3 linked regions of the Canis lupus familiaris genome follow. The protein of the gene in region 2 interacts with the protein of the main gene of each other region in a pairwise test. Links are inferred from orthologs where the notes say so. Each region holds a gene or a part of one and is shown on either strand. Other genes may lie near its edges. The genes, in order: CDC5L, KIF5B and PRKAR2B.

What was found.
Region 1: the proteins of KIF5B (region 2) and CDC5L interact in a two-hybrid assay, tested with the Homo sapiens proteins (2 studies listed by BioGRID and IntAct). The link is inferred for Canis lupus familiaris from reciprocal best matches to the Homo sapiens genes KIF5B and CDC5L.
Region 3: the proteins of KIF5B (region 2) and PRKAR2B interact in binary tests that used the Homo sapiens proteins (3 or more experiments, as listed by UniProt). The two-hybrid records come from large-scale screens. The link is inferred for Canis lupus familiaris from reciprocal best matches to the Homo sapiens genes KIF5B and PRKAR2B.

The regions. Positions count from the first base shown.
Region 1 is NC_049233.1:12,998,229-13,008,732, forward strand, and holds part of CDC5L (cell division cycle 5-like protein), read left to right. Parts: intron 1-622; coding exon 623-703; intron 704-994; coding exon 995-1,237; intron 1,238-3,986; coding exon 3,987-4,184; intron 4,185-10,504.
Region 2 is NC_049223.1:12,694,660-12,705,163, reverse strand, and holds part of KIF5B (kinesin-1 heavy chain), read right to left. Parts: intron 10,217-10,504; coding exon 10,161-10,216; intron 10,066-10,160; coding exon 9,978-10,065; intron 9,819-9,977; coding exon 9,694-9,818; intron 8,591-9,693; coding exon 8,486-8,590; intron 8,080-8,485; coding exon 7,934-8,079; intron 7,067-7,933; coding exon 6,918-7,066; intron 6,491-6,917; coding exon 6,297-6,490; intron 5,264-6,296; coding exon 5,195-5,263; intron 3,513-5,194; coding exon 3,306-3,512; intron 750-3,305; coding exon 606-749; intron 1-605. UniProt on the Homo sapiens protein: Microtubule-dependent motor required for normal distribution of mitochondria and lysosomes. Can induce formation of neurite-like membrane protrusions in non-neuronal cells in a ZFYVE27-dependent manner.
Region 3 is NC_049239.1:13,746,102-13,757,267, reverse strand, and holds the start of PRKAR2B (cAMP-dependent protein kinase type II-beta regulatory subunit), read left to right. Parts: upstream 1-4,276; 5' UTR 4,277-4,291; coding exon 4,292-4,595; intron 4,596-11,166. UniProt on the Homo sapiens protein: Regulatory subunit of the cAMP-dependent protein kinases involved in cAMP signaling in cells. Type II regulatory chains mediate membrane association by binding to anchoring proteins, including the MAP2 kinase.

The sequences.
Region 1 (10,504 bases), on a different chromosome or scaffold from region 2:
TCCGTTAGCCATCTGAATGTCATCATGGAGAATTTTGTCTGTTAACATCTTCTGCCCATTTTTCTTTCTTTCCATTTTTTAATTGGATCATTTGTTTTTTGGTGTTGAGTTCTTTATATATTTTATCAGATATGTCACTTGCAGATATCTTTTCCCATACAGTAGGTTGCCTTTTAGTTTTGTTGATCATTTCCTTCAGTGTGCAAAAGCTTTTAACTTTGATGTTAATTCCCATAGTTTATTTTTGTTTTTATTTCCCTTGCCTCAGACTTACCTAGAAAAATGTTGCTACAGCTGATGTCAGGGACATTACTGCTTGTGTTCTTTTCGAGGATTTTTATTAGGATTCCAGTTTAAACAGAAAAAAATGATTATCTGATGGATGAAGCCATGTAAACTTGGAGAATGCTTTAGTAGCTGTTGGCAATTCTTAGTTTGTATTGTAATGAGAGAGTGAATAGACTGATTTCTGTTGCTTTATTGTCTTTCTACAAACTTACACAGATTTCTACAGCTTTAGCTCTTGAGCATGCATGTTGTTATAGACTAAAGTTTTCAACTTTATTGAAATGCGGCAAATATTGCATATCTGTAATAATGGATATAAAAATAATTTTTTAAGGCTATACGAGAGGCAGAACGTGTAAAGGAAATGAAACGAATGCACAAAGCTGTCCAGAAAGATCTGCCAAGACCATCAGAAGTAAGTGTTAGAACTTCTGGCTTTGGAAGTTTTAAGTTTCTTCTTTGTGATTGCTGTTTTTATGTCATTCATAAAGTCTGTAAAACAAAATTTTATCTACTTTCTGGAATGTAGTAAAGCAGTTGCAGATCTAATCTTTAAAATGTTTCACTGGTACAAATAAGACTTTAGAAGGAAAAAAATTTTTTTTTAAAATGTAAAACTGCTATTTAATTCATGCTAGGGCAAGTAAGTAATAGCATCAGTATTGCAGTGATCTGTTTGTTAATGGTACTTGTTTTAAAATTTTAGGTAAATGAAACGATTCTAAGACCCCTAAATGTAGAACCACCTCTAACAGATTTACAAAAAAGTGAAGAACTAATCAAAAAAGAAATGATTACAATGCTTCATTATGACCTTCTACATCATCCTTATGAACCATCTGGAAATAAAAAAGGGAAAACTGTAGGATTTGGTACTAATAATTCAGAACACATTGCCTATCTGGAACACAACCCTTATGAAAAATTCTCCAAAGAAGAGCTGAAAAAGGTATGATTAAACAGAAATATTTTGGTCTTGATTAAAGTATTGGTTCAGTACTGTGTATCATAGATGAACAGTAGCTTATTTTCTGAGGCTGATATTTATAAACAAATGAATTTGTAATTAGGAGATAGCTGGTCATATGACGTGTTAGGAGGACGACATACTTGACCATGCCCCTTTCCCCTTTCTTGATAGAGCTTCTTCAGGTGAACACTAGCTTAGGTGGCAAGGTGTTTTTGTTTTATGGGTATATGCCTGATGGACAGTTGCTACAATTGCCACTTCCTGTGTTCAACTGCTATTTCTGAGTAGAATTGAATACCTTTAATACTTCAACCTGGGGCAGTCCCGTGGCGCAGCAGTTTAACGGTGCCTGCAGCCCAGGGTGTGATCCTGGAGACCCGGGATTGAGTCCTACGTCGGGCTCCCTGCGTGGAGCCTGCTTCTCCCTCTGCCTGTGTCTCTGCCTCTCTCTCTCTTGCTTTCTCTCTCTCTCTCTCTCTGTGTCTCAATAAATAAATAAAATCTTAAAAAAAAAACAAAACTTAAACCTCATTTAGATTAATATGAGAAAGCAAGCACATATTCAAAATGTTTCTTTCACCTAGTCAAAGAAAGGAAATACCATTTACTGAATTTATTCCTTTTACTTGATTTCCCACTATTCTTTTGGATAAGGAAATAGAGAAACGTTTTCCTGTAGAAAGTCTCTCCTGCCTCTTCTCCATATGCATTTGATTATTTCTGCTTTGACAGAGCAAACAGCTATGATTGTGAATAGAAATCATTTCTTCCATGGTATGAGGAAATACAGTGGGTGCCATGGTTGGAAGCAGAGTGGTCATTAGCCATTAGTCTTTTTTTCTGTAGTGCTTAGCCTTGAGGAACAGACAGACCCGTTGTTGGAATCTGCTATTGCATACTTGGGAGGAAATCCATAAGATACCTTTTTCTGTCTTTTCTTGTGCTTTTCTTCTGTCTTATTCTTTCCATTTTCCTTGTTGAGAAGTAATATATGTTTATTAAAAGATTTTGAGAAAATAGAGAAAGGAAAGAGGATTTATTTAGATTTATATTTAAACAGTTTGCCTGTGATTTCTGAGGATCTGAGTTATTCATTTTAGTAAGTGTGACGGGAAACTGACATCTGTTGAGGGCCTCTTGTGGCAAGCACATTTAATCATTGGACTGGGGTTAAGAATTACACTCTGAATTCTGTACTTGAACAGTGTTCTTTTTTCGGAGGGAAAATAGGGGAAGATGGGATCAAGGGGTTTACTGTATTTATGGAAACCAAAATAAGGATCACATTATGATCTGTTGTAGCTTAATAGAAGATTCTGTAGGGGATAGATTCTAATAAAGTTTTTGAAAAATACGTAGTGCTTTGGAATTATTTGAAACCATTACAGGCTAGTTTAAATATTCTTTTATATTTTATGTATGTATTTATATTCCTCTCCGTTCCAAAAAGGATTTGAAACAGCTATTTACTTAGATTCTTTATGGAGAGTTTAAAGATAACTTAGTCATACTCTCTTCTTATAATTATAGGAGCTGATTTTATAAATTTTTATTATGTACAGTTTGGGAATGAAATACCATTTCTCTTATGAAGTGTCAGATTTTCATTAAAGATGTTACAATTGATTTGTTTTCATTATTTCCCCTCAGAGATACTGTTTTAAAGTGTATTCTTTATCTTCTAGAGACACGATTTTCCATTAAGTCTTTTGTATTTGATTTTAATATACTTTGGTCTGTTTTATTTTCTGATGTACTAGAATGATTGAAAGTTTTCTTTAAAGCATGAAAAGATAGTTGTCAGTTTTTAGCCATGAGGCAAAGGGCTGGAAAAAGTTTATGTGTTCTACTCATGGAGTCATTGTGTCTGATGTTGGGGTAGCCTCTGTATGTATTTTGTATCACTTAATCCCAGTAACAAATAGGTTGGTATTATCCTCATTTTACAGATGAGAAATGGGCTCAGAGATGTTCAGCAAATTCAGACAGCTGCCTAAATGGTAAAACTATGATTTGTACTCAGGTCTATCAATTCTATCCCCCTCATTCTTTCATCTTAAACTTTCTTAGTAGTAAGTAAAAGCTGGTCTGTGATCCATTATTTTCCGATCTGTGCCCCATCTCATTCTCTGGCAATGTTGGGGGCATTTCAAATGAGAAAACAGGCATGTATCAAAAGAAATGCCTAGTTCCCCTTCACAATCTTGTGAAGTCTAAAGTGTAGGGAGGCAATTGGTAGAGTGGAAGGAATTAGCCAAGCACAGGTGCCATTTGGCTTGGCCCTGATCCTGCCTTGCCTTTCCTAGTGATGTGTTTTTGAACATGTTGATTAATCTCTCTGAACCTTAGTTTCATCAACTTTAAAATGTGATTAATACCAACTACTTTGTAAGATGGTTGTGGTGTTTGGAGATAATGTAGGTTGAAATGTTTCTGGCGTATAGTAGATATCTGAGAAATGGTTGCTTCTTATTACAGTGATTGAAGGCAAAGGATATTTATATTGTTCAGGATACATGGATGCTTGACTTTTCAGATCAATCTGCCCCAGCTTATTGGCTTCTTAATTCATTTTAACTTAGATGTTTTCTCCCTTTCCAAGAAAACAACCAGTTAACCCAAACTCCTTCTCTTTACCCAAAGAAAGGAAAAACTAGTTTTTTAAACTTCTCTCTTGATGGCAAGTTATTCTAGTACCTAAACTTACTGAAATTATTACTGTACACAGGCCCAGGATGTTCTGGTACAGGAGATGGAAGTGGTAAAACAAGGTATGAGCCACGGAGAACTCTCAAGTGAAGCTTATAACCAGGTATGGGAAGAATGCTACAGCCAAGTTTTGTATCTTCCTGGGCAGAGCCGCTACACACGGGCCAACCTAGCTAGCAAAAAGGACAGGATCGAGTCACTGGAAAAGAGGCTGGAGGTTGGTATCCTTTTAAAATTCTAATTTAAAGTGTACCTTGATTGAAATAATGAACCGAATAATACCATTGGAGACAATTTCAGAAGAGTAGACCTGAGGTGATTATTGCTTTTGCAATTCTTTTTCTTTTTCTTTTTCTTTTTTTAAAAGTCTCTTTGTTTGTTTTAGTAATCTACACTCAATGTGGAGCTTGAACTCACCACCTTGAGACCAAGAGTTGCATGCTCTTCTGACTGAGCCAGCCAGGTGCTCCTTGCTTTTGCAATTCTTGAGAGAAAACTGCACTGAAGTGTTCTATCTTCTTTGACTTTTTCAGAATTGCTGATAAATGGGCAATTTATGATAAAGAGTGCCCTCCAGGTGATCACAGGTCAAACAGAACCTTTTAAATGTGGGAGCAGGAGACAAGAAGTTAACACTAGTCACACATAACAATGTTTATCAATGCTGAAATAGCTTGTTTTCTCTAAGGAGGGAGCTCAGTGGTACCAAGAAAATTTTATAGCCAAGGGAGCCCATTTATAAAACTTTGTTTTACTCTCTGTTCATCCTCTGATTCTTTCGAGTTTGTTGCAGAGAGAGCACCAAGCTGGATTATCTTAGACAGTGGCTTCTGTGATTTTTTACACATCCTAGGAAATGTTGAAATGTACGAGATGGGAGTTTCTTAGTGTATGGTTTCGTAATATGGTCTTTGTGTTTTGAATTCCAGAATCTGTGTAGGCAATTTTCCAATGGCATGTAAATTGTGGTTCATGGACCACTAGGCTGCCTTTTGGATTCCTAATGGTGGCCTTCAGGGATGTTTCTGAGGCCAGGATGGGATGGGGAAGCAAGGGATGCTATAGGCAATCACATGCAGAAATGGCCTCAATTTCCTCCTAAGTAGTTCCTAATTTCTTTTTACAGAAAGCGTTGGAAAATATTTTTACTTAGAGTTAAAATAAAAAAATGATAATATCACTTGGGGTGGTTGGTGCTGTTGTGAGGGCTAGGAAAATGAACAAAAAATAAAAGCATTCTTTTAATATGAAATTATTCTAATTCTTAATTTTACCCTTAAGACCACATGTATAGGCACCTAATGGTTAACACTTGTGAGCCTCTTTTTTCATTTAGTGGTAATGAGTTTCTCTTTGAAGTAATTCTCATCTTGGTTGAAACCTTTGCAATCCAAGTAATGCTAGTTACTCAGTTGTATTACTAGCTTCCAGCAGGGTGTGCTGTTGTGCTGTGTTTTTAATTCACGATTTAAAGTCTGGGAAAGGAGAACATCAGTGGTCACATTTAAAGTTATATTTTCTGTTGTATAGGCTTTGTTTCTTATTTATAAATGGTAGTTAGCAGTGTAATCCTGATCTAAAGTCACATCATAATTGATTAGAAAGCTGTTTGGAAAGCTTCCTTGTAACATTTATATACAAATACTTTGGTCTCTCACTCAGTTTGAAAAGCTTCTCATTTGAGGTGGGTAAACTTTTTCTGCCTCAAGTGGTAAGGACATTTTGTGCTCTTTAAGATATAAAAAAAGTTTTTTTTTTCCTAAATCTCATTTACTTTGTTGAGGCACTAACTTTCATGACAGCAAATAAATGTGTCACAAAGTGAGTGGTGCCATAAAGTACAGTAATTTTTATTTTTATGTTGAATTGGTCTTGTGAGTTTTGAAGGGAAAAATACAGAAAGAACCTCTGCTGTTCTTTTGGAGATTTATTTGGGTCGTTTATGAGCAACCATTAAAAACATGTGGTTCTCTTTGTTCAGTTCAGTACCAAGAACTGAAATCTTCCGTTGAACTATTTTTGTTGAAGGATTGGTGATTTTGGAAGAATATTCATAAAACAGTCTGAAGTAATTTTTCTTTTCTTGACTTCTGGATAACTTACTTTATTGTTTACCCAGCTAGTTACTTTTAAAGAATATGTAATCAAATCCTTTAATTTAGTAAACTACACTTATTTCAAATGAAAGTTCATTAAATCTTTAAAAAGAAGAAAAGAGACTCAAAAACCCAAATAAACAAATCCCCCATTTTATTTGTATCCATCCCTAATTCAGAACTAGGTTTGTGTTAGCTTATTTTAGTTTTTGAAGACACAATTCTACTGGTTTGAAATACATAAATATTTTATTTCAATTGTGGTAATTCTTTCATCATTTCAGTTGATTGCTAAATTATAAACATTATTCAAAGTTTGTTGTGGGGAAGGAACTCCAGTCGTATTATATAAACTGAATGCTATACTTAAATTATTCTTTCCACTCTTAGGTTCAGGGAGATATGCTTTTCTGTGCAAGCACAATACACCATGGCTGCCAGTGTGTTTGATTTTTGCTGTCATGAACTTTGGAACAGTGAATCTAAATTATGGCCCTATCACAGTGTATCAAGCAAGATGAAATCCAGCTTTGTCGTGGTTGGTGTCTCCTAAATGGATTAAAAAATATGCCCTGAGGTTTATATTGGAGCTGGTCTTTGAGCCATTACTCATTAGTATTTGAAACGTAGAACTTAAATGAAAACCCTTAAGATATTCATTTAAAACTAATAGAAAGAACCATCTCAGATTTTATGTAGAATGTGGTGCATGGTAAAAGGAGTCTGTTAAATGCATAGAATCAGAATGTAGTCACAGGTTAGAAGTAAGCAGGAAAGACTTCAGAATTGTAACCAAGGTCATGTATTTTATTCTGCTTTGGAGGCAGAATTAATTTTAGAATCCTGTCAGATTTTTTTGTGTAAAGGCGGCAGCAGCAGCAAACAGAAATGATAGCTAATATCAGGAAAGGAAAAGTTTTTAGAAAGCATAGCATATTGAGGCTATTTAAATATGGTATTTTAATAGCTTCTGAGTGCATTGTAGGTGTATGGTAGGAGAGTAGAATGATTGCTATTTGTAGTGATGCCCCAGATTTAAAAAATAAAACATTTAATTTCTGTTTAGTGTCATCTCTTTCCTTTTGTTTGTTTTAAAGAGGGATGGCTAAAACAGTAGGAAAATTTTTATTAGATGGTAAAAAATAAAACGGTTTTAGTATTTGATGTAATCATATGTTTAGTGAGTATTAGTGAGCATCTGCTATGTGCCAGCCCTTGCTCCAAGCCCCTGGGAATATAGTAGGAACAAAGCAGACAAGCTCTGTGCTCTTGTGGACTTCAGTTATCTGGAAAATGCTTCATGTGGAGAACCTCATTTTTTGATGATGCCAGATAAATGAGTCATTACTGTATTTGGGAAGTGCAAATAGAATTTGAAGTGTTCTAATTTGTTTCCACTTTAAGTGGAAATAGGAAATTGTCTGAAGACATAATTATTTTGAGTGAAATAATTTCCAGTAGGTGCAAAAGTGAAATAAGAAGTCTGAATTTAGGCCTGCTATTAAATTTAATAGTATTTGAAATAGTATCTAAACTGCCGTGTTGAGGAAGTTTGGCTGAAAAGTAGATTTTGTCATGTTAGCTATAAAAATGGAAAGGCTTTCCTTAGAGGTGGAAACTAGGTCCAGAGGTAATACTTCTCCCTGTATTTTACTGGCACAGTCAACTTAGTCAAGAAATATTATGTAACCATCAGCTTCTTGGAAATAAAGTAACTTAACACAGATAACACATTTAAAATCTTTCTCAGTGTATTTCTAGAACTCTTATGAGGACTCCTGACTGAATGGTTATATTTCAGCAAAATTGGCACAGTGGATCATATTTTCTCAGTTATTTTCGTTAAAAAGTCAGATATTTTTACATAGGAAAAAATTCCTCTTAATACTTGGAAGAGTGAAAGCTTCCGGTGCAGATTGAGTTGTTGCGCTAACCTGGGGTGACGGCCTGTGTGTTGTAGTCACTCTGCAGGTTTCATGCTACCTCATCAGAGGTGTGTGGGGGAGGGGGCAGCGCAGGGCATAGGAGAGAAGTTTCTAATACTCTGAAATGCTCCCTTTCTCGAGTTCTGCTCTTTCCTTTGATCCTTAAAGGCATCGACAGAGCTCTTGTTTCTTTCAAGAACTCTAGAGCTGGATCAGAGATTTCCTTGGTACAGTTGTGTTGCTTCTGTTAGGCCTCAACATTGAGTTGACTTTGTCTCATGTGACATTTCCTAACTCATGCAGTTGTCAAGTGCTCTTGGTGTTCTGCTTTGTTGGTCCATTACTGTTCTTGAAAAGGATTTTGGTGAGGTTTTGCCTCACTGCTTAGCTTGCTTTATCGGGATGCAGCTTGGTAGTTGCTAACTTGGGTTGATGCTAGTAGCAATAATCACTTACTTGGACCTGCAGCTCATCAGTATGGAGAAGGTTCACTGATAGAACTTAATACCAGTGAATAGCATAGAGATTAAAGGAAGGGCACTCATGGACTCTTGTTGTTTGCAAACATTTTGGTGGTTGAACCACATCGTTACTACTATAGGATCATATTGCTAAATGATGGACTAGGAAGTGGAGCTGCCATCAACTCTGTATTTATTTTGGGTATCCTTAAACCTGTTTTTCCAGTAGTATAAAGTTATATTCTGGGCCCCCAAGCAAGAGTTTCACTGAGGGATGCTCTTAATGTTTCTGAACCTCACTGTAACAGGCTTTAACTGAAGACAGTATTGGAGACCCAGGATAATGTGTTTATTTTGGAATTACTTAAGCTTAGTAACCTTAACAAACTTAGTGAGTTTGAAAGTAACAATTACACTTTTATAAGTCCCATACAGCCCCCTTTTGTAATGACCCGAGGAAACACTTATGGTTCCACTGATTCATCTCCTGGGGACCATCAGTTTTCCATTGGTCTCTGGCCAGTCTTTTTTAGACAGTTTCTCTTCTATGCATTTAAGAAATAACATTTGTAGGCGTTTTTCTAAAAATAATACCTGTACTTTGTAGAAAATTTAAGAAGATATTAAAAAACAATTTAAAAAGAAGCCTACCATCCAGACATAATCGCCTTAAACATTTTGAGGGGTGTGTATGTATATATGTATATATTTATATATATGTGTGTGTATGTGTATTTGTATGTATATCACTACATATAGAAAAAATTACCAGATGCATCCACGCGTGGAGGAAAGGAGGAAGGTATTTAGAACTGGATTGGAATCACCGTATACTACTTTGTTAACTTAATGGTATATTATTACAAATAACATTTTTAAAAAAGCCTGATCACTTGCTCTCTTCTATAAAGTTGTGGCAAAGAATAGCTTTGCTGAAATCCTCAGGTAATTATATACTAGTTATATTCTGCTCAGCTTCTTAAAAAGTTGTTAAATAACCTTTTCTTCCCTGTAAAATTTTTCTGAGAGATGTTTGTTTTCTTATAATTTTATAGCTTATTAAGAATAAAAGAATTAGGAATTTAAAAGTATAAGCTGGGGAAAGTCCAAGCTTTTCCTGTAGGCTAATGTCTCAATCAAGGAAAGAATGATGGACAGATCCATTAATTAAGATCTTGTTTATGGGTGTCTAGAATAACTTGTTTTTCAGGGAACTGTCTGATGGCATTAAGCCATTTAGACCCACAGCTTGAATTTCTTCAGGCATGTTTGCATTGCAGGGGCTGAGGCAAGACAGATGTTCAGTAGTGGTTTATTAGTAGTGGTGTGGCCTAATGTGTTGAACTTTCAATTAGGACACACTCCGGAGCTTCTTCACTTAGTGGCTGTGTGGCCCAGGGCCAGTTACTTAACCTCGCTGAGCCTCTAAGTTGCTTACCTGTGATATTTGGGCGGGTAATTGTTTTTATCTCCCGGAAGTGAGAGTTTGAGATACTGTTAAGATTAAATGAGATATGGTGTGCCTAGCAATTAGCAAGGTTTTGTGAATGGAAATTCTCCCATGTCTCTTCAGGTGTGTTATCACCCTTAGTGTTACCTAAATTGGATTAAACTTGGTTTGATACTTTCAGATATCAAGAAGTAACTGTTAACCTTGCACAACAGGGTGGCTGAGATTTTGTTCTGTAAATTTTGGTGATTGTCTGAAATTTGAGACATGGGATGATTTTCGCAGAGAGGTTGAGTAAGGCTTACGGCTCAGATTTTGGTTAGTATAAATGGATTTTAATGTAATTGTGGATTTTAATTTAACATTTGATATATATACGTTTTGGTGTGTTGAAATTGTTGACATACTTGTAAATTTTGATGTCTCTTATATTTCATCGTATTATTTCATGGTTTGTGGTATACAGTCTTAACAAAATAGCATCTCCTGTAGATACTGAATTTGAATTTTATAGAACCTTTTATTCTGGGAGTTTTCAAATATACCCTAATATGGATTAGTATTAATGAGTCCTCAAGTGTTATCATCCAGCTAGGAGTATCAGC
Region 2 (10,504 bases):
TTTCATTTAATTTACCAGGTCACTATCTTTCCTTTTTATCACATGCCCAATGTTAAAATAACCAATGCTAGTATTCTAAAAAAGACTTGAGAAGAAAAACAGGCACAGTTAAAATAGGTATAGCAAAATATTGACTACTAACTCTTTCATGCTATTATTCTACTGTTTTATGTCTGAAATTTTTCATAATAAAACTTTAAAAACATTAACAAGCAGTGCTCATCTTTCATCTTTTCAAACATTTAAAGGCAACCAGACTCATTCATTCATGATTTTACTCCCTGAGCTAATCTCTGCTGTTGTCCCAGTTATACACTTTCATGTACAGTAATTTATTAACATAACCTCTAAATGTAAAATCTTTACATGATGGAGAAAAGAACCAAACATGGGATCCAGATAAATGATATTTATTGATTATGCCTTTTGAGTGCCTCTTTTCTTCTTTCCTCCCTGATTTAAAATGAAGTTAAATACCATTTATAACACATTGCTGTTGTGAATGAGATAATGGATGTGAAAAGAACTTTGTAAAAAGTAAGCAGTAAACAGAAGTATGAGTTGTCTACTGATACTTATACGTAGCATTTGGCTATTTTATTTACCTTTACATCATTATTTCCCACAGCAATTCCTATTTCTGCAAGGTCTTTTAGTAAAGATGCCATCATCTCAGCTGCTCGTTTTTTCTGGTGGTTGGTCATTTCCTTAAGTTTCTGAAGTTCAGCATCTATACTTGCTAAAGTTGCCTAATAGAATCCAAAACAAAAGATACAGTTAAACCTATTAAATGAAAGATTACTTTGAATATTGACAGGTATTTCAGTTTACCTAGGACTCAAAAAAATGCATTATTTTCTACTTTCAGTTTCTGAACTATCTCATCTACAGAGTTCCGGGATAGCTCCTAGCTCAAACTTAGAAAATATTTTAGATCTAAGAGAGTCTGTAAAGTAGCCATATTATGCTCTATGAAGAGCACGTCATTTGTACCATTTCCCTAATATTTGAGACTGGGTAATGTTTCCTGCCTAGAAGGGAGAAACTTCTAAGGTAATTAGCCTGAATTTTCTTTCATTACCATAGTATGGCTTATCTTTTGAAACGGAGTCCAAACAAAATAATGTTAGAATAGTAATGAACTTTCTAGATGGTTTGTATGTTTTATCTCCTTTCTATATACATAGTCATTGAAAATAGTCTACCTGATAATTACTACTACTTTGATACTATGATATAAAAGCAATTATTTAGGAGATAGTGATGAAGTAGTGTTATTGAGTGTTAACTACTCTAAGTTTATAATAATAGCTAATTGACCAGCAACAAAGTCACCACAATTTTGAGAAGTCCAACCCAATTTGGCCACATTAAAACTTACCATTAGGGCAGCCTGGGTGGCTCAGCAGTTTGGCACCTGCCTTCAGCCCAGGACGTGATCCTGCAGACCCAAGGATCAAGTCCCATGTTGGGCTCCCTGCATGGAGCCTGCTTCTCCCTCTGCCGGAGTCTCTGCCTCTCTCTCTCTCTGTGTGTGTGTGTGTGTGTGTGTGTGTCTCATGAATAAATAAATAAAATCTTAAAAAAAAAAAAAAAACTTAAAAAAATAAATAAAATAAATCTTACCATTATAACACAGTCAGATATTAAAAGTCAGGAAGTTGTATTAAGAATACAGTAGCTTTTTGTAAAGATATCATTTCAGTTTATTGTTTCTTCTGGTCATTTCCCTAAGTTTCTGAATATTAGTTGTATGCTTATCCAGTTTAATCTAAAATACCAGATATCTTTCAAGTCCCAGAAGATAGCATGCTTTAAGGTCTAAATCATTATGTATCTTCTCTAACAAGTGAGTAACAATATTGTACACATATAAAAAGATGCAGAGGGCAGCCCTGGTGGCGCAGCGGTTTAGCACTGCCTGCAGCCCAGGGCGTGATCCTGGAGACCCTGGATCGAGTCCCGCGTCGGGCTCTCTGCATGGGGCCTGCTTCTCCCTCTGCCTGTATCTCTGCCTCTCATTCTCTCTGTTTCTATGAATAAATAAATAAAATCTTTAAAAAAATATAAATAAAAATAAAAAAATAAAAAGATGCGGAATGCTGTAAGGTTTTCCCAACTTCTATTACCAACATAGCGTTGACAGACTCAGCTTCATAACTGGGACACACCCACAACTGTCTTAAAGACTAAAATCGGTGACTGAAGACCAACTTACAGCTTGTGGAGTTTTAAAAAACTCCTATTGTTCTCCAAATAGCAATTAGGTTTGCTAATACAACTCAATAATTCTTAATAGTAAGAATTATAAAGGCACTTTGATCTCCATGCTATTAAACTGTACCTTTGGAGATTAAAAGGGGAAAATGAATTTTGCATCAGGGGCATGAAACCTTTAAAAATAGTTCTTGACTGCTTTCCTTTAGATAGGTGAACATGGATAGGTAAATAGTAGTGAACACGGATCCTGAGTCCAACTCTAGATGCAATTTCTGGACAAGAAGTTGGTACTGACAATAATAAAACATTAATAATAAGACAGCTCATCTGTGGTGATGCTGCAAGTATAGCAATCACAATCCCACAGTTAGATACTACCTTTAGCATCATTCTAGGAAGGTGGCAAATCCTGCTTTATAGCAATAACAAATAAAGACCCTTATCTATGGCAGAATTACAAGAAGAGCCTTCTATATTGTGCTAGGTAGGCTTTACTCCAGGAGCTAGGAATGTAACAGAAAACAAAAACCAAATTATAGGGCAGCCCGGGTGGCTCAACGGTTTAACACCACCTTCAGCTCAGGCCATGATTCTGGAGACCCAGGATCAAGTCCCACATCGGGCTCCCTGCATGGAGCCTGCTTCTCCCTCTGCCTGTGTCTCTGCCTCTCTCTCTCTTTTTCTGTGTCTCTCATGAATAAGTAAAATATTTAAAAAAATTATATGAGCTTATATATCCTCTTATTTTTATGTGCACATTTCTTAATTTACAGTTTGAACAATCATCTAATAATTTTATTGAGTAACTAGGAGCTAACTTATTTTCTCTTTAACTTTAGAATATTAAGAATAGCCAACAAGTCTTCAAATGGCATTTTAATTACCTTTTAACAGACCGTCAGGACCTAAAAGGATAACCTTCTTCCTTCACCTCTAAGGATTTATATAAAGGAGAAACTGAATTTGAGGCTTGGAAATGCTTAAGAATGGATACTATCAGCACTGAGCTTAGATAAAAAGAAGTTACTTAATTTCAATGAAGAATATTTGTACTAAAGTATTAAGAAAACAGAATTATATCCTACCGATTTCTGATTTAGTTCATCACTAAGCAATTCATACTCCTTAGTTTTATCTTCCACTTCCTGAGACTTCTGATCATAATTGACAGCAAGTTCCTCTAAGGCTTGTAAAACTTCTTTTACTTCTTCTTTAGAGGCATCGTTTTCTGCTTGCAGGCGATTCAGTTCAGCTTGCATATTATCTTGATCCCTTCTGGTAGATGCCAAAAGCTACATACAAGAATAGAAGTATACAGAGGTTTTAAAAAGGTATAAAGGCTTAAAAAATCTATTTGCTTCACCATGTGCTAAACAAAAAGGGAATAAAATGTGGATGCTATTAACTGTGTGAACGTTTATTCATTCAATAGACTATCTACTATGTGCGGGCACTGTGGATGACAGCAAAAAAATAAAAAATAAAAAAATAAAGACTTTGCTTTGAGGACTCTAATAGAAGAAACAAAGACACATAAATAAATGTAATACAGGATGGAATGTTAACTAAGAGCCAAAAAGGAGGGACAGGACATGACAAAGTGCTTGGTAATATTTAAAACAAGAGAGTTATTCATGAAGAAGGCTAGAATTGGCAGATTTTTAGTTATGTGCAAATTCATGTATTAGAAAACAAAATGCATACTAGGTTCATGAACAGTGAGTACAGAACAAAAAAATTAGTAGCTGTCTAGAAGACATGCTTAAAAGTTCAGATCTTCTTTGGTCAACAAAGGGTGGCACCTGACCTATGCCTCAGGAAAACTTAGTATCAACATATATAATTTGACTGCAGAGAAGCCAACAGACTAGTTAGGAGAAGAGGGTCAGTTGCTGTCAAGTAGGAGCATCTAGAAATTTGTAGGAGTATTTCTAATGGGGCAGAATGCTAAGGACACCTAGAAGCAGGGGCCATGGATGCTAAAGGTCCTGTATGTAACACACAGCACAGAATAATATAATGAAGAATTGTGTAAATGTTACTAGTGCCCTCTTTGAGAAAACATGCTATAATTGAAGTACAAAGGTGATGTGACCAGGATCATGTTGACTGATGGTGGCTATCTCTTCCTTATTGAAGCTGTGTAACCTTTGCCTCCATATCCAAACCAAATCTTAAATGAAGTATCATTTTTAAATTACCCCTCTGTTCTGCCAGGTAAGATAAATTGAGGGTCCTAAACCAGGTGACAAACTAGAGAACTTGAAAGAACTAAGATGAAAGTAAAGAAGGCAAAAATCAGCTGGTTCGATGAGGGCAGACATGGTAAAAGAGGAGTAAAAAAAGATTTCATTCACTGACATCCTTATTCCCACAGTAGGTCATACCTCAAATTATATAATTATTAAAGATAGGTCAAAGCAATTCAGTTATTTTTTCTTCAATCATCCCTTGAAACCTGTTTCTGTGTGTTTAAGTGAACAAGTAACAATAAAACACTGTTTTTTACATTTCTTCATTTCCATGTGGAAATACTCTTCATAAAGGAACTGACAGTTTAAAAGTATAGTTAAGTCCATCTCAAGGATTAGTAAGACAGGTTTTGGGGAGAATAAGGAGATAAAACAGCACTATATATAAAACAAGGAGAGTAGAAGACAGTTAAAAAGTACAGTAGAACTATATTAAAGAATAGTACTGAAAAGTTATCCTCTCCTCTCCAGTTAGATAGAACTCAAACTTAAAAAAAGAAAAACCTTAAGAGGAAGTCAATCTTTGCTTCACTCATGATGTATCATATCCACAGTGAAGCATGGGCATATTAAAGGTACTCCCATATTGCAAATGTACTCCAGGATATTCTGAGCTCTCTGTTGGTTCATCTTTTATGTTTATTTTTTCCATCTCTTATGTTTAAATAGTCATGACAAACTGTAAGCTTTTCTGACAGCAATATGTACAATATTCACCTTACCTCTTCTTGATCCAACATTTGTGTCTTCAGTTTCTCTACCAATTGGCTCTGTTGATTAATTTCTTCATCCTAGAATTTTAAAGTAACAAGTCATTGTAAGATTATTATTTCCCTGACCAAAATACTTCAAAACTGTTTCTCCAAATTAAACATAGCTTATTTCAATCTCCTAAAAAAATGCTGAAGGCTAGTCATTTGTTTAAATGCTAAGAAATAATAAACATGTTTAAATTTATTATTGAAATAATGGCAATGCAGTTACTTCAAACCTGCCATATTTGCTTAAAATACACATAAAACACCACCTAAAAATAAAAACAAAACAAGAACTATTTACTTCTAGTCTCTTTACTGCTCTCGTTTTTCCCTTTCTTGATTCATAATTTGTTATTTTTCACAATAAAGCTGAGATAATTAAAGCAGGAAAACATTATTTCCACTTTATTTTGTTCCCTAATCTCCTGCATCACCTTTATTATTGAGTCTAAGATCCCTGATTCTTAGAGAAATCATTTCATTAAGATTCTCCAATGACCCAAGGTCTAATTCTCTTTCGAAAATTCTTTTAAAGAAGAGAAGAAAACACAAGTATGTCTCATACACAGTTCCTGCACAGAAACAGAAACTGTGATTTTGTATTTTTTATCAATACCATGACCCTTAAAACAATGTGAGAGTTAGGGGTGCTAACCGCCCCCACCATGGAGTTGAAGATCCACATATATATAACCTCTGACTTCCCAAAAACTTAACTGTTGCTAGCTGTTGAATGAATGGAAGGCTTACCAATAAAGATAATTAACACATATTAGCACACATTTTTACGTTACTGGGTTACATAAGGCATTTTTACAAGTACAGTAAGCTAGAGAAAAAATGTTATTAAAATCCTAAGGAAAGTTTGTTTATATTATTGTACTATATTTGTTTTAAAAATTCACCCATGCAGTTCAAACCAATGTATCTGAGGGTCAACCTAACAATCATTTTCAAAAGAAACTAAGGTAGATATATATAGGTTCCCTGGATCCATAACATTAAAATTAAAAATAAAAATACCTATGTCATAACATTCCAAAACAAAACATGAACAACAAGCTACCTTGTCATCAAGCTGTTTGTACAATTTCGCAATTTCTTCTTCACACTTTCTTCTTTCAGCATCAGTAAAGTTTCCAGTAACTCCAATTGTGGCTGCTGGTTTATCATTGGTAATAGTAACATCCTTATCTACTGCAAAAGCTTCCAAGTTGGCTTTCTCTTTGTCAAACTGTTCATCAACAGGCACTGTCTCTCCTAAAATAAGGCAATAACATGGTTAATAAACATCTACCTGTCTAAAACAAATTATAATTTTATTCAATTTCAGGAGCTCTCGCCAACTTTATCTGCTCAGTCCAAGATTTGAGAAGCTACAATTACTTTTGACTCATCCCTATCTTCTAAATCCAGTCACCAAATCTTGTAAATTTTATTGCTTCTACCCCACTGTGGAACCTTTCCATCTTGACTTTTATAGCTTCTAAGATGGCCTCTGTGCCTCTATTTATTATGTCAGGTAAAATCAGAATTTAAAAGATTTTCATCATTTTTAATTGATGATCCTTAATGCTTAAAAAGTAAAAACGGATATAGTTTATATTCATAACAGAGTCTCAAGTTTGTAAAATAGCTTTATATTCATACTCAACAAACTCAAAATGACACATTCATAAATTATTACCATTACGCCACCGGTTGAGTTCATTTTCAAGCCACTGAATGGTGTTCCGCAGGGTCTTATTTTTTTCCTTTTCTCTTTCATATTTCTTTTTCCACTGTTCTGCAGTTAATTCTACATTTACACAAACTGTGTTCTTAATTGTTTTAGCCCTAAGAGAAGTAATTGCAGAAAAAAATTTTTGACTAAAATTAATTATTTTCAATTGATACCTACAGATCTCTGTTATATATACACACATATGGCATTTTTGGCTAAGTAATTTAACTTGACAATTCTTGTTAAATTATCTCTATGACTAAATACAAAGAACCATAATTACTATAGTGCTTATTCACAAGCTTAATAAATTTGGGTCAGTCACAAATTGGTGATTATCTTAAAATTTAAAAATCAACCTGATAAGGATAAAGAACAAGGGCCCATATTTCCCCAATTCATTTGGAAGGCTAAATTAATATAAAAACAATTACTGTTGAAGGTCAAAAATAAAATCATCTTTGACTCTCCTAGGTTAACCAATTCATAAATGGTTATCTCATTATATGAACCTGTCACATATGTCTACAGACTAATACAGAATTATATTTGTCAAGTTTTTATTATCTGAATGCAAATACTTATTTTCTTTAATGCTAAATTAAAGCTTCTCAAATAAATTTGAGTAAAGTTAACATCTGACTTTCATAATTCAAATCTAAGCACCTTTAAAAATGGACCTTGTTTGTATTATCTCTCAATTAAAAAGTTGTGTCTGGCATACTAACAATATGCACTGATTTGAATATCTACCTACTTTTCCTAGACTTAATAAACAAAAGACCTATCTATCATTTAGACTGGTTTTTTTTTTTTTTTTTTTTTTTTTTTAAAGATTTTATTTGAGAAAGAGAGAAGCACAGAGAGAGAAGGAAACTCCCCGCTGAGCAGGAAGCCTGACTTGGGGCTCAATCTCAGGATCCAGAGATCATGACCTGAGCCACTCTGGTGCCCCTAGACTTTGTATTCTCTTAACAAACCTTTGACCAAACAGGAGTGTAGATTTTGTTTCAGATTCATTGTATGACGATGGAGAACAGCAAATTACAATAGTGGTTCTACAGTTTCCACCTAATGAGTCTTGAAGGATTCTCGTCATCTTACTATCTCGATATGGAACATATGTCTATGAAAAAAAAAAAAAAGACCAATGGGTTTCTATGCAATAAAATTTGTTATATATGGGTGACGGGCCCTGAGGGGGGCACTTGATGGGATGAGCACTGGGTGTTATTCTATATGTTGGCAAATTGAACACCAATAAAAAAATAAATTTATATATAAAAATTTGTTATATAAATATGTTGGACTTTAAGTTACAAAGGAATTTTGGTTATTTTAACTGATTAATATTAAAATGGGAACTAAAATCTACATACAAATACTATAAATTCCCAAAAGACAACTAATTCACATATACTGATTGAAACACACCAAATCTTTCACTCAAACATCCATGCATACACATATATTGATATTTGAATAATCCCCCATAAGATAACAATAGGGAAAGAGAAGACATGTATACTTACACTTCCCTCAGCCAAAGCAGAAATGACATTGCCAAGAGCAGAAAGTGACTTGTTGATGTTCTTAGCTTCATCTAGTACAGCACCTTCAGCTCCAGTTTTACTAACCTACATACACATTAAGATTCCAAAAGAATGAAACAGAATTTTAAGTTTAAATGATTTTCTAAAAAAGTTCAGAGGTCACCAATAACCAGCAAACAATAAAATGAAAAGCTTCATGATTTTATTCACCAATTATTTACTCTAAGCTATCACTATTTCTTAAGTATTAATCGTCTGAGAACTTGGTCAAGTAACTAGGTGCATGAGAAGAATGTGATTAAGGAGATACCAAATTTTATTTTTAGTTTATGTTCCTGAAAATAATAAGTTTACGGATACATTTACAATATACTATTTGTTAACCTCCTCTGCTTCATTAAGAGAGGAACCTTTTAAAATTTGCTAAAGCTTATTCTTGATATTTTAACTGTTACTGATTTTAAATACATAAGCAAATTCACTTCTTTTAAAAATGTGAAATATATGTATTAAAAATAGGATAAAAGTAATATTTTAGCATTGTTGACTGAAGAAACAGCCTCTCAGAATTCACAAAATTAAAGACAGGCTTTGAAGGATGTGTTTAAGACTTAAGTAAAAGGGAATTGATATGTTACTTCAATCAGAAGAAACAAAATTAGCAAAACAGCAAAAATAGTTACAGAGATCAACATTAAAACATTTGAACTTATTTTGATTTTCACATAAACTAGAATCAGATTAGTTTACTGTATAGTCTATGATAGTTAAATAATCACTGAAAGGAAAAGAAGTAGGTACATCCAAACCAGAAGACTAATGGATAGTTACCAGTTTTCACAGGGAGCCCCACTGTCAGTATGGTAAAATAGATATCAAAAATTGGAAGATGGTACCTAATAAAATTTATAACTACATATACTGAACAAAAGTCTCAATAAAAACACACTTGAAGTCAAAGGTAACACCTATTGGGGTTGAACTGGACTATGGCACAAATAACAGTAATTTGGAACCAGTTTTTCAGTTTAAGTAATCGTAAGCACTGGCATCAAAGCTTTTCTTTTTTTTTAATCTCTCAAATCTGATTTAATAGTTTTTAACATGTTAACAACAATGCTGAAGTCCAAATTCAAACTAAAGTTTATAAAAATGCTTAAGTATCTACTAGAATATAAAGATTTTACCTTTTCACTACCAGCTAAATCAACCAGATAAAGTTTTCCACTCAGCTTTTGTTCCGTTTGCGTGTTCTCTTGTTTTACATTAATAAGAAATATACTGTGACTCCTAGAGCTATGTTCATTCATATCTGCAATGAAATTACACAAACAACTATAAACAAACACGGCTTTCCCTACTAATAATTTCTAAAGCGTTATTTACATAAAAATCCAATATAATTAATCAAGTTGATAAAGGTATTTTAAGGCAGTTTTGTGCCTAACTAGTGTTAAGACATTTTACTTACTTGTAACTGCTACATGTCTGTTGGATTTTCCTTCGTCAATGGTATCCATAACTTCATCTGGACTACATACAAAACGTTCTGTGCACCCCTATAAAATAATTTTTTAAAGTATGTCAATAGCCATATTGACAATTGACAATTTATTACTTTTTAAACAAGCATTCTGTATTATTTTATAAATACCTTTACATAAGGAACTCGATTTTTATCTTCATGAACTGAAAGGTTGGTCTTTGAAACTGAAAAAAAAAAAAGTATCAGTAACATTCTCCTAAACTCTAAAACTAGTTATGAAAGAGCTAATTGTTGATTATTTCTCTTCCCAAGTGGCCTAATAACAATAGGTAAATTTTTAAAATGACACATCACTATTAAAGAAAAGACTCTGTAGAAACAGTAGGAGATTTAAACAGAAACTAATGCAGCAATATAAAATTTGAGGTCCAGGGTAACCTCTATTACCTACATTTTGAAAATAACATTATACCAGAGTAGTTTAATAGTTTCCCAGGGCAATGAATCTAACT
Region 3 (11,166 bases), on a different chromosome or scaffold from region 2:
TTGTCTTCTCAGTATGCTCCTAAGCTCCCTCCTGGGGAATCGAATGTCATGGTCTCCAAGTGTGGTCCCCAGGCCCACAGGAGAAATGCAAATTCTCAGGCCCCGCTTCTAACCTACTGAATCTGAAAATCTGGGGCTACAAAGCTGCATCTAGACATCAGTCATTCTATTTAGTCTTAATCCAAACGTTTCCAAGATTCCCGGGCTCTGAGGTGGTCATCTTTCAGAAGTCCTGAGAGAGCCCACGCTACAAGCAGCACCCATGTTAGGGACTTTTCTGAAAAGGCAAGTCTTGCCACATATTTATGCTACCCAACCCCTTCCTGATCCTGCATGCCACTGGCCACACTGGCTGAACCAGGAGAGCACCAGCCAATCCACTGGATGGTCAAGACCATACTATCCTCTCTTCAGGACATGAATTATAGACACCAAAACCATAGTCAGTGCTGAACTGCTGAAGGGATATAAAAACCAAGAGTGACAGCCACAGTGGGCTCTGTGTCAGCACAGCTCCTGTGACCTTTCCATTTGCCTTCATGTCCTGAGTGAGTATATATTTCTTGCATCACAGAGACATATTAACTCTTGGTAAGAAACACTGATTGGTCATAGTTATGATTATCCATTGAGCAGCTTGCCTAAACTATAGCTTGTCCATGCTGTCGTCCTGTGATAGCAGCTGCATATAAACAAATTGATGTCTCTGTCCAATATCTATTTAATTTTCCATGTGTGAGTGCAAATTTGGTAGCATTCTCACTTCATTCCAATGCTGAACTCTTGGAGTTCTTTTGCAATTGCTTCTGCTTCTCTGAGAAACTGGTGAAAATTGCTTTGTAAATCAACAACCAAAGAATCAATTTCAGTGATGTTCTTTTAAAGAATCCAAAGATGAAGAGTCTCCATAGGCCACTGTCACTGCACTCCAAGGTTTAGAAGGAAATAGTCTGAAAATGAAAGCAAAGAAAATCACAACATATTATCCAAAAGGTTATGTGATAGTGAATAAAAGCTAGAATAGGAGTTTAGAAGTGAATGTCTGTTCTGAGAACAAAATATTAACATAATAGGACTACCAGGATCAAGCTTTAATTTTTCAGGTCATGGTTACTGATTTAAGAACTGATGCAAATAAAAATTGTTATCAGACAGCTGCTTGCAAAGATGTTTTAAATCCCACATGTCTTCTTTTAATATTATATTGCTGTAAAATAGCCCAGGATGGGAGAGACCATATAGGTCATCTAATCCAATTATGCATTTTATTCATGCCTGGCTCACTTCTATACCCCTAAAGAAATGACAACCAAATGACCCCGGCATTGCCGTTGATGACAGATCCATGTATCATGCCTTATATAGTAACTCTACAAAAAACAAAACAGACCAACAACAGAAACGACTTTGAAACACAAAATATGCTACTTCGAAATATGGTTCTTGTAAATGTTTGGAAAAGTGGTGGTTTCTTCTTCTGTCATTCCTGGGGGAGAGGATGTTAACCATTTGGCGGACACTGGTTATTGTCGGCAGAATTGGTTCTCAATTTCCAAATGTTTGCTTGGCACACAACTGCTCAAAATAAAGCTTACATTCCCTAGCTTTCCTTAGGGCTATGTGTTTCAGACTTACTGCTGTGTTACAAATTATCCCCAAGCTTAGAGGCTTAACACAACCTCTTTATTATGCTCACAGATTCTGTGGGTCAGGATTTGGGGCAGGCCATCACAGAGCTGGCTGCTTCCGTCATCCTGGCATGACTTCTTTCAAAGCAGTCATAAACCCATCCGGATTCAGGAGGAGGGGAATTAAGATTTCAACTCTTGATGCAGGCAAGAATGGCAAGGCCACACTGTGGAAGAACACAAGGGACAGGAGATATTTTTAGTGTTCCCTTTGAAAATGCAACCTGCCATACCTTGGATGTGGCCATCTTGCCTAAGTTCTGGCCAAGATGGTTTAAGAGGAACTGGTGTGATGAACTTTCTGGAAGTGTTCTTAGAGAGGCGTGTTTGTGTTTGGATGGAGATGTGGGGATGGAGGGAAGTGGGGGTGGGGGAGGTGGAATCACTTTTCTTTCCCACTTTTCTCTTGGCTTAAATGTGAATGAGATGACTGGCGGTAGAGCAGCAATTCTGGACTGCTACCAAATTTGGATCCACAAACTGAGGATTACAGAGCAATGAGCTAGAAGGAGCCTGGGTACCTGAGGACCATGGAACCACCATACCAGTCCTGAACTGCTTACCTTTACGTTATAGAGAAATAAGCTTCTGTCTTCCTAAAGCTACTGTATTGTGCATTTTCTCCCACGCTCGAACAATGCTAATTAATCTTAATAAAATTATCATCATAAGGGGACGCCTGGGTGGCTCAGTCTGCTAAGTGTCTACCTTTGGCTCACGATCTGGGGGTCCTAGGATCGAGCCCCACAACATACGCCCTGCTCACCGGGGAGCCTGCTTCTCGCTCTCCTTCTGTGCACATGCTCTCTCTCAATAAATAAACTCTTCTAAAAAGTCATAAATGAAGGCACATGATGAAAATTCATCTTAACTGCTGGATCTATAAAGATACTAATGCTTACATGGTGTATATAATGCTTACACAGTTAAGAGTTGGACTAATATTGCCCTTTATGAGAATCATAGTATTTTATAAAAGCTTATGGCTTAAAATGTTCACAATTAGATGTATTTTACTGTATTTCAAAATGACATACTATCATGAGGTTGATAAGCAGAAATCGAGAAATACATTCACTCATGGAGCGATTATAAGTTGAATTATGAACAAAGGATTAATATCAAGATGAATTTATTTTTTTTCCAAGATGAATTTCTATAAAATTTTCTGAGTCATGTGTGTTCTTTTTTTGTTCTTTTTTTTTTTTTGTGAGTGGAAAGATTAATCAGAATAGCTGGGCTTGCTCTTCAAATATTTTATTTACAATATGATGTCATTATCGAAAATGAAGTACCTGTTTTGAAAAAAAAAAAAAAAAACAGTTACTTAGGGGCACCTGGGTGGCTCAGCGGGTTAAGCGTCTGCGTTTGGGTCAAGTCATGATCCCCTGGTCCCGGGAACAAGCCCAGGGTCTGGCTCCCTGTTGAGCAGGGAGTCCCCCTCTTCCTCTCCCTCTGCCTCTACATTCCCATTCTCTTTCTAATAAATAAAATCTGGAAAGAACCCCCCCCCCCATTTAATTGGTAAAAAGCAATTTTCTAATTCAAAACTATGAACATTTGCCGAATAAGCCTCATTTCAAAGCCAAGGGCTTCAACTTTAAAAGTCCATGTCCCTGGTTCTAGTTCTCCTTATATTAAGAAACCTGTTTTGGAGATGGAATTCAAATCCCTCAGCGTGTAAGGTGAAGCTCTAAAATAAATAAGAGCCTCGTGGTGCAAAGCATATCTTGCTCGAAGACCATCTGTCTTGACGGTGACATTCCACCCCAAGCGCTGCACCGTCCTGCCGGCAGGGCCCCCCGCCCCCCGCCCACAGCGCGTCTGTCTTCGTGGGCGCCTCGAGGGGCCGACGCCCGGGCCTCGGCGGGGCCGCCCGTGCTGAGCCGGCTGCGCGGCGGGAGGCCGGGAGGGGCAGCCAGGGGGAGCCCAGGGGCTGCGGCGAGGCCGGGGTCTCACTTCTTTGTCCAGAACCGGAGCCGCAGCTCGGGTGGCTCCGAACAAAAGGCGCCGCCGACACTTAGCTCGGGCCGGCGGGGCTCCCGGGGCGGGGCGGGGCGGGGGCTCGTCCGCTGGTCCGCGCCTTCGCCGCCCGGAGCCGCCGGGGCAGGTGCGCGGCGAGGCGCTGCGGGGCCGGGCGGCACCCACGTGCCGAGCGCCGCCCCCGCCCCGCCCCCGCCCGGCGGCTCCCGCTCCGCGCGCGGGCACGCCGGCCAGGTTGCCATGGTTCCCGCGGGTCACGTGGGCGCGCTCCGACGCCCCCTCCCGCTGGCGCGGCGCGGCGCGGCGGGGGCGGGGCGGCCCGGGCGGGGGGCGGGGGCGCGGGGAGCCGGGGCCGCGGCGGGAGCGGGAGGAGCCGGAGGTGCAGCCCGCCCTCCCGGGGCCGCGCTCGCTCAGCCGCCGCCGCCGCACGGAGCCGCCGCCGCCGCCGCCGGGCCAGCCGGGCCAGCCGGGCCAGCCGGGCCGCCGGGGCCCAGAGCGCCGCGCTCGCAGCCGGTAGCGCCGCCAGCGCCGTCCGCGCTCGCTCGGCGGCCGCGGGGCCGCAGGCCGGTCCGGGGAGGCGGCGAGGGCGGCGCCCGGGCGGCCGCCGCGGGGCCGGCAGGATGAGCATCGAGATCCCCGCGGGGCTGACGGAGCTGCTGCAGGGCTTCACGGTGGAGGTGCTCCGGCACCAGCCCGCGGACCTGCTGGACTTCGCGCTGCAGCACTTCACGCGCCTGCAGCAGGAGAACGAGCGCAGGGGCGCCGCGCGCTTCGGCCACGAGGCCAGGACCTGGGGGGACGCGGGCGCCGCCGCCGGGGGAGGCACCCCCAGCAAGGGGGTCAACTTCGCCGAGGAGCCCGCGCGCACCGACTCCGAGGACGCCGAGGAGGAGGAGGAGGCCGCGGACGCCGGCGCGTTCAACGGTGAGGACCCCCCTCCCGGTCCCCGCAGCCCGGTTCTCCCCCCCGGACCCCGCAGCGCGCCTCCGCCCCCTCCCCCCGGCCTTGGACCCCGCAGCCCGCCTCCGCCCCTCCCGGACCCGGCAGCCCGCAGCCCGCCTCCCCAGACCCCGCAGCTCCTCCCCAGCCCGCAGCTCGCCGGCCCCCTCCGACCCCGCAGCCCGCCCCCTCCCCCCGCCCCCTCCGACCCCGCAGCTCCCCCCCACCCTCTGGACCCCGCAGCCGCCTCCCCCCACCCCCTGGACCCCGCAGCCCGCCTCTCCCGCGTCCTCCCCTGTACCCCCGCCTCCTCCCCTGCACCCCCGCCTCCTCCCCCGCACCCCCGCCTCCTCCCCCGCACCCCCGCCTCGCCCCCCCGCGGCCATCCCGGGCTCCCCCCTCCGCGTGGCGCCCTCCCCCGGAGCTGGGGCGCTGCAGGGGTCCGGGCTCTCGGAGCAGGTGCCGGGGCTGGGCGCGCAGGCGGCTCACGGCCGCGGCGGGGGGGGGCGGGGGGGGCGTCGGACCCACAACTTTGCCTGCGGTCGGACAGACGGCGCTGGACCGACCGACAGCCCGTGCGTGGGGGAGGCACCTTGGGCTGGTGCACGGAGCGTCGCGGAGGGCAGGCGAGGGGCGCCGGTCGGGCTGGCCTTGCTGCCGGGAGCGGCACCTTCACTGGGAGCGTGAAGCTGGGACTCGCTGGGGCAGGACACAGTTTATGACGGTAACTTTGACATTCTGGGAAACAGAGTCCTCTCTTATTTTCCCAATTTACCAGGACCGCGCTGTGCTATTTTTTGGACACGCAACAAAGGATCCTGTATTGCCTGCGACTCATGGGGTCTTTGGAATGAGGAAACGGGCTAATGGTTTGCTTTTTATTTTAAACAAGTATTCAATGATTTGGTGCCTTAAAAAATAAAAGTATGTGAAAAACACCGGTAGGAAGTTCTGAAAGCTTGTTGGTTGTCTTCAGAATGAAAAGCCAGTGAGTAATTGTAAGGACTGTGCCAGACACAAGCTAGAAAGAATGAATGAGAAAGAAAAAGGAAATTTTCTCAAATAGCTACTCCTAGCAAGTCCCACCCCTTCTGCTTACAAGCCTCTTTCCCTAACACACACACACACGGTTACAGCCTCCTGTGCCTACAGTACATGCCTAAATCCCCTCTTTATGGCATCCCAAGTTAAAATTCCACGGTGTGCAAGTGTTTTTCTCTTTGTGGTGGAAGATAAACATGCATTTCGGCATTGCACCAGTCTGTATTTATTTACACTGCTTGCGGTTTGTGTGTCTGCAGTGTATTCCATAAAATGAAAATGTTCTAAAGTGTCATTTCCTTGAGTGTGTTCCTAGGAAGGTGTTTCCTTTCTTTGCAAATTTGTCGAAACCGTGTTTTGAAATTAATGTATTTTTAGCTCATCCGAAACAGTCACAAAACCCTGAATTAATAATAAGTATTCTTTGAAGATCAAAAGGAAAATTGTTACTTTAAAAATGTTCATCTTGGGCTTTTTATTGTTTCCAGGGATAAGATGATCATAGTCTCAGTTCTTTTTGCACAAGAATTTAATCAGATGCTTTCCTTGCTAGAAACAAGAAAAAGGTAAAAGCCGGCATATTTAAATAGAGGGGAAGGAGAAGCCAACAATAATGGATGACATAGAAAGGAGAGAAGCATCTAATACTCTTTTCTGCTCCTGACACATGCATGAACATATGTACGTGCGCTTTACACACACATATAGGAAGAAAAAAAAAAGGTTTGTTTTCTAGGGTGGAGGAAACTAGGAACTAAGGGAGGTGGTAAAAAAAAAAAAAAACAAAACCAACAAAACCCTATATATGTTTAGTATGATTTACTGTTAGTATAACTAAAATATTCTCTTTGTAGTACAATTCTTATGAAGTAGTTTGCATTGACGATTCTATTTTCTTTTTACAACAATGTAGTTTGTACACAAAACAGCTCTTATTTCCATTTTGTGTTGAATAAGCCATTAACTTCTCAATCATTTTATATGGTTTTATGTTCTCCAAGGCACCTTTATTGTAAAAATTACTCTGTGTGAGTTTTAATGAATACTCGTTAACCAGTTGCACTATTCATTTTCTCACCCTTATCCCCAAGGACTTTAAAACTCTTTGACTACAACCAAATACAATTCGACATTATGATATACATATATGCATATATGTATAACAGAAATTTTGGCAATGGCACTTCCTTCTAGTAGATGCACTTAGAAAATATCTACTAGAATATCAACTATTTTTTTTAATATCAACTATTTTAATTAATTCTCTTATTACTATCTTTTAAGTATGTAAATTGTGTTTTAGTTTAGACCTTCAGTTTAAAAAAACATTATAGGCTACCAGGGGTTGACAAACGTTTTTGTAAAGAGCTAGACAGTAGTAAATATTTTAGGCTCTGTGAGCACCGTATGGTCTCCATTGAATATTCTTTAAAAAAAAAACAAAAACATTTTAAACACATGTTTCCTCTGGAGATGTGTTGGGGATGTACAAAATTGACCACAGACTAAGGCCATAGTTTGCTGGCCCCTGGCAGGAATTGGGGGAAAAAGTCAAATAGTGCCATTGGAAAACAAACAGAAGTGAGCCTATCAATTTAATGTTTTGGTGCAAAAAATTGCCAAAAAAACATCGGATCCTGGGCAATTCTCCTAGCATAGTAAAGCATAAGTATTAGAAGACAAGTCTTATTTACTTGCACAAGTCTTAATTTACAGCACAAGACCAACTGGGTCACTAATTTCTTAAATGTTAGTATGCATGTCAGGGAAGTTTGATTCAAAAATGAGTATTACCTGGCATTGCTCCTGGTGAGCTTATTTGAATAGGTTGGGGTGGAACAAGGGATCTTTTCTTTTTTTTTTCTCTTTCTCTCTTTCTTTCCTTTTTTTTTTTTTTATAGAGACGTCCCAGGTCATTCTGATATCCATAGTTCCCTGATCACACTGTGAGAAACACTGATCAACAGATAGTGATGATGATAATGTCTTTGTCATATCAACATTTTAAAAAAGTGGCCACCATTTATTGACGTTTGGTATGTGCTGGACATTATCTAAATGCTTTCATAATCAAATTCATAATCCCAGCTGTCACTTGTCCAGTGTTTAACAGCTAGGCTGCTGCAAAACCGGAAATGAAACACAGGTGGGCCTGGCTCCATCCCTCTGCTCTCAACTCCCAGGTTTTATCTCTGGAAGGGGCTGGGCCAGCATCACTTGAGCATCCCCTTTGTATCACATCTGCGTGAGACCCTGTGTTTTCTCTGTAAGGCTCTGAAAAATGAACTTGTCTGGGGTTACACACAGGACTAGTAAGTATCAGAGTCTGGTGTTTCTTAACTTCCATCTGTCTGACCCGAGAGAGTTCATCCTAAATTAAGTTTGTTCAGTGGACTGACTCACACAGATCAGGTTGTCCTGGTTATTTTTCCAGTAATGGTGATGAATTTGCATGGATTGGTTTGTACTCACTCTCATGAATCCTTTTAAGACAAGTGATGCTATTTATGAGAAGTTGGGCAAATTTTTGACCAGGAGACTGTTGCTCATTTGACTCATGTAGGGATCAAGCATATAACCTTGACCTCAGTATGGTAGTGGAATCAAATAAGTGAGCCAGGGTCTGGTAGCTTGACCATGGATACAGCACTAGGCCATATGGTCAGATGGGTGAAGGTGGTCTTTACTTCCTGCTTTTCCAAAGAATCCCTTTCTCTGCTGGTAGCTGTCCCATTTCTCTCCTGTTTTTAAATTTTATTACTTCTATTCCTTTCAGTTTGCTATAAATTCTGGTTAAAAGGGAAGTTCTCAGAGAAGCTGTAGTGGAGACTGCCTCCGTCTTCCCCATCCAAGAGGTAGCAAATAAAGCATGACATGTTGCTTCTGAAAGGCTAGTGTCCCCAGGCTTAGAATGTATTAGAAGAATTAACAGCCGGCCAAAGAATTGGATCAGTACTGATTTGGAGTGGAATTAATGGTTTCGTGCAGGCATCATTGTGAGAGCTTGTGTTGCTCAATAATTTCTTCAGTGAAATTGCTGAAATTATAAAATGAAGTAAGTAAAATTCCCAAATACTCCTCTAAATTGACAAATGGTCAGAAAAAGATTAGATTACATGTGAAGAGACATCAAACTGGAAGAAAAATAAACTACTGTATATAAAATACACAGGAACTAATTTTCCATATTGTGGAAGAAAAATCTAGAGTTCAAAGTGTGTACACATGCCAGACATTTAGAATATCTTATAAACAAGCATGTCAAGATATATAAATAGAAATTCACCATGTAGAAACTATGGTTTAATCCTTTTAATTCTGACCTCTGCCAAATCTTTGTTGGAGAATTGTATGTACCTATGATTTTTTTTAAAAACAATTTAAAGGGAATATGGGTGAATTTATAAGAGATCCTTAAGATCACACAAAATACTAGAAAGTTGGAGCTCCTGGTGGTGGCAGGGGGAGATTAAGAGAACAAATTTATTTCATGAGAAGAAATGGTTGAAGGAGCGTTTGAAAGAATATTCACACATCTAAGAGGTTTTCTTAGAGGATTATGAGCAAGTATTCCTTATCTCTGTATCTCTGACACAGAATCAGAAGCACTAAACTTTGTTGTAACTTGAAGGATAAGAGCCCAGAAGTTCACTTGTGTGAAGTGGTTTACGTGGTCTTCCTAAAATGAACTGGCAAAAGGAATCAGGGCAGTAGATATATTGGCTCCCTGATAATCTGCTGTGAAAATATTCTTCACTGGGCTCCAATTGGTAGTACAAAACACTTTTACCTGTTGACTTCTTGGTCTAACTGGTAGGAGAAACTTGTAGAGAGTAATTATTGCTTCACTGAATTGTTCCTTTGGCTGATTTATTAGGCCCACTTTTTTTTTTTTTTAACGATTTTATTTACTTATTCATGAGAGACACACACAGAGAGACTGACACAGGCAGAGGGAGAAGGAGGGTCCATGCAGGGAGCCCGATGTGGGACTCGATCCTGAGGTCTCCAGGATCACGCCCTGGGCTGAAGGTGGCCCTAAACCACTGAGCCACCCGGGCTGCCCAATTAGGGCCCACTTTTATCTCCGTGTTCTTACTTAAGAACCTGCTCTCTCTGGCTACTAGATGATTATGAGGCAAAGCAGCCAGTCGTTAGCTCTTCATCAGCCTTTTCAGTGCATTTAATTGGTTTGAAAATGTTCACCAAAGTCTGACAACATTCATTTTCCTTCAGGGATGAAGCACTGTGCTGGGCATATTGACATATTATCATGCTAATAGTCTTTACCTCCTAAGGTTGTTAGGGGATAAATGGTTTAATATTTATAAGGGCCTCAGGACAGTGCACATAGCAAGCATTGTTTCCGTGTAAGACAAATGATCTCATTAACATGAAATCTTAACAGAAGTGTAAACTTCTTGCAGAATAGCCACTTCATTGTTATTTTGTGGAAATGAATCTAGTGTTTGCACTTTTTAGAGAAATGAAGTAGGAAATGAGCTTACGTGGCATTTCCACTTAGGATTTAATGTGAAGTTATGTTGCACAGTAATAAAACCCACATCCTTTCAGCTCATAATTAGTAGCTAAGAGCTGCAGAATTTTATAATTAACGAGACTGTATGGTCTTTGGCTATTAGAGATTTAGAAGTTTTTAATTTATATAGTAGTTTTGAATCCTCCTGAGATGGGAATTACATCATTCATGACAATGGCTAAACTGCTGAAGCCATTATTTTAGTTATGAGCATAAATCAATAATAGAGAAGATTTTAAAAATATTTTGAGTTTAGATGGTAATTGTGATTTTCAAAGTAGGACAGTGAAGAACATTATTCATTTTAATAGTAGTAACATAGGGATTGAAATTGGGAAGTCAAAGGACTTGAAATAATGTCCTTTCTCAAATTCTTACCCATCTGTTAACTTCAGGCTTGGGGAAGAGGGCGAGAGGGAGGAAGAAGAGGGAAGTAAAATCAGTTGGGACTTGTAAAAGATTCTTGGACTAATTTATCATTTGTCTGAAGACAGCATAGAATGAAAAAAACCTGAACAAAAAGAGAAGGGTACTTGAATTTGTCTGTCTTAAAAATCAAACTGTTCAACCATTATTGAGTGTAAGACCGTTGTAAGTTTTCCATTTGAGGTTGTAGGTACAGTGATGTGCTGTGTCTGGGTGAGATGGAGTAAATATTTAATGGTTATTATTGTTGCAAATCCCATTCCATGGGTTCCAGTAAATTTCCAGCTGTCAAGATTTTGTTCTTCACTGCCTCAAAAAAAAAAGCAAATGTGTTTCTTTTTCAACTGTTTAAATACCAACAAGAGACCTTTGAATTCCCCAATGAGAAGCTCATTTGTGACCCATTAAGAAAGTCAAGTAATGAGAGTAGTAGCAATTAGAGAAAGCCTATGGTGGAGGTTGGGATTCAGTGAAGGAGATTGCCTGACCCCAGGGTCTATTTGAGTAGTGTCTATGGTCATAGGATACTGGAAGGGGCTGGGACCTGCG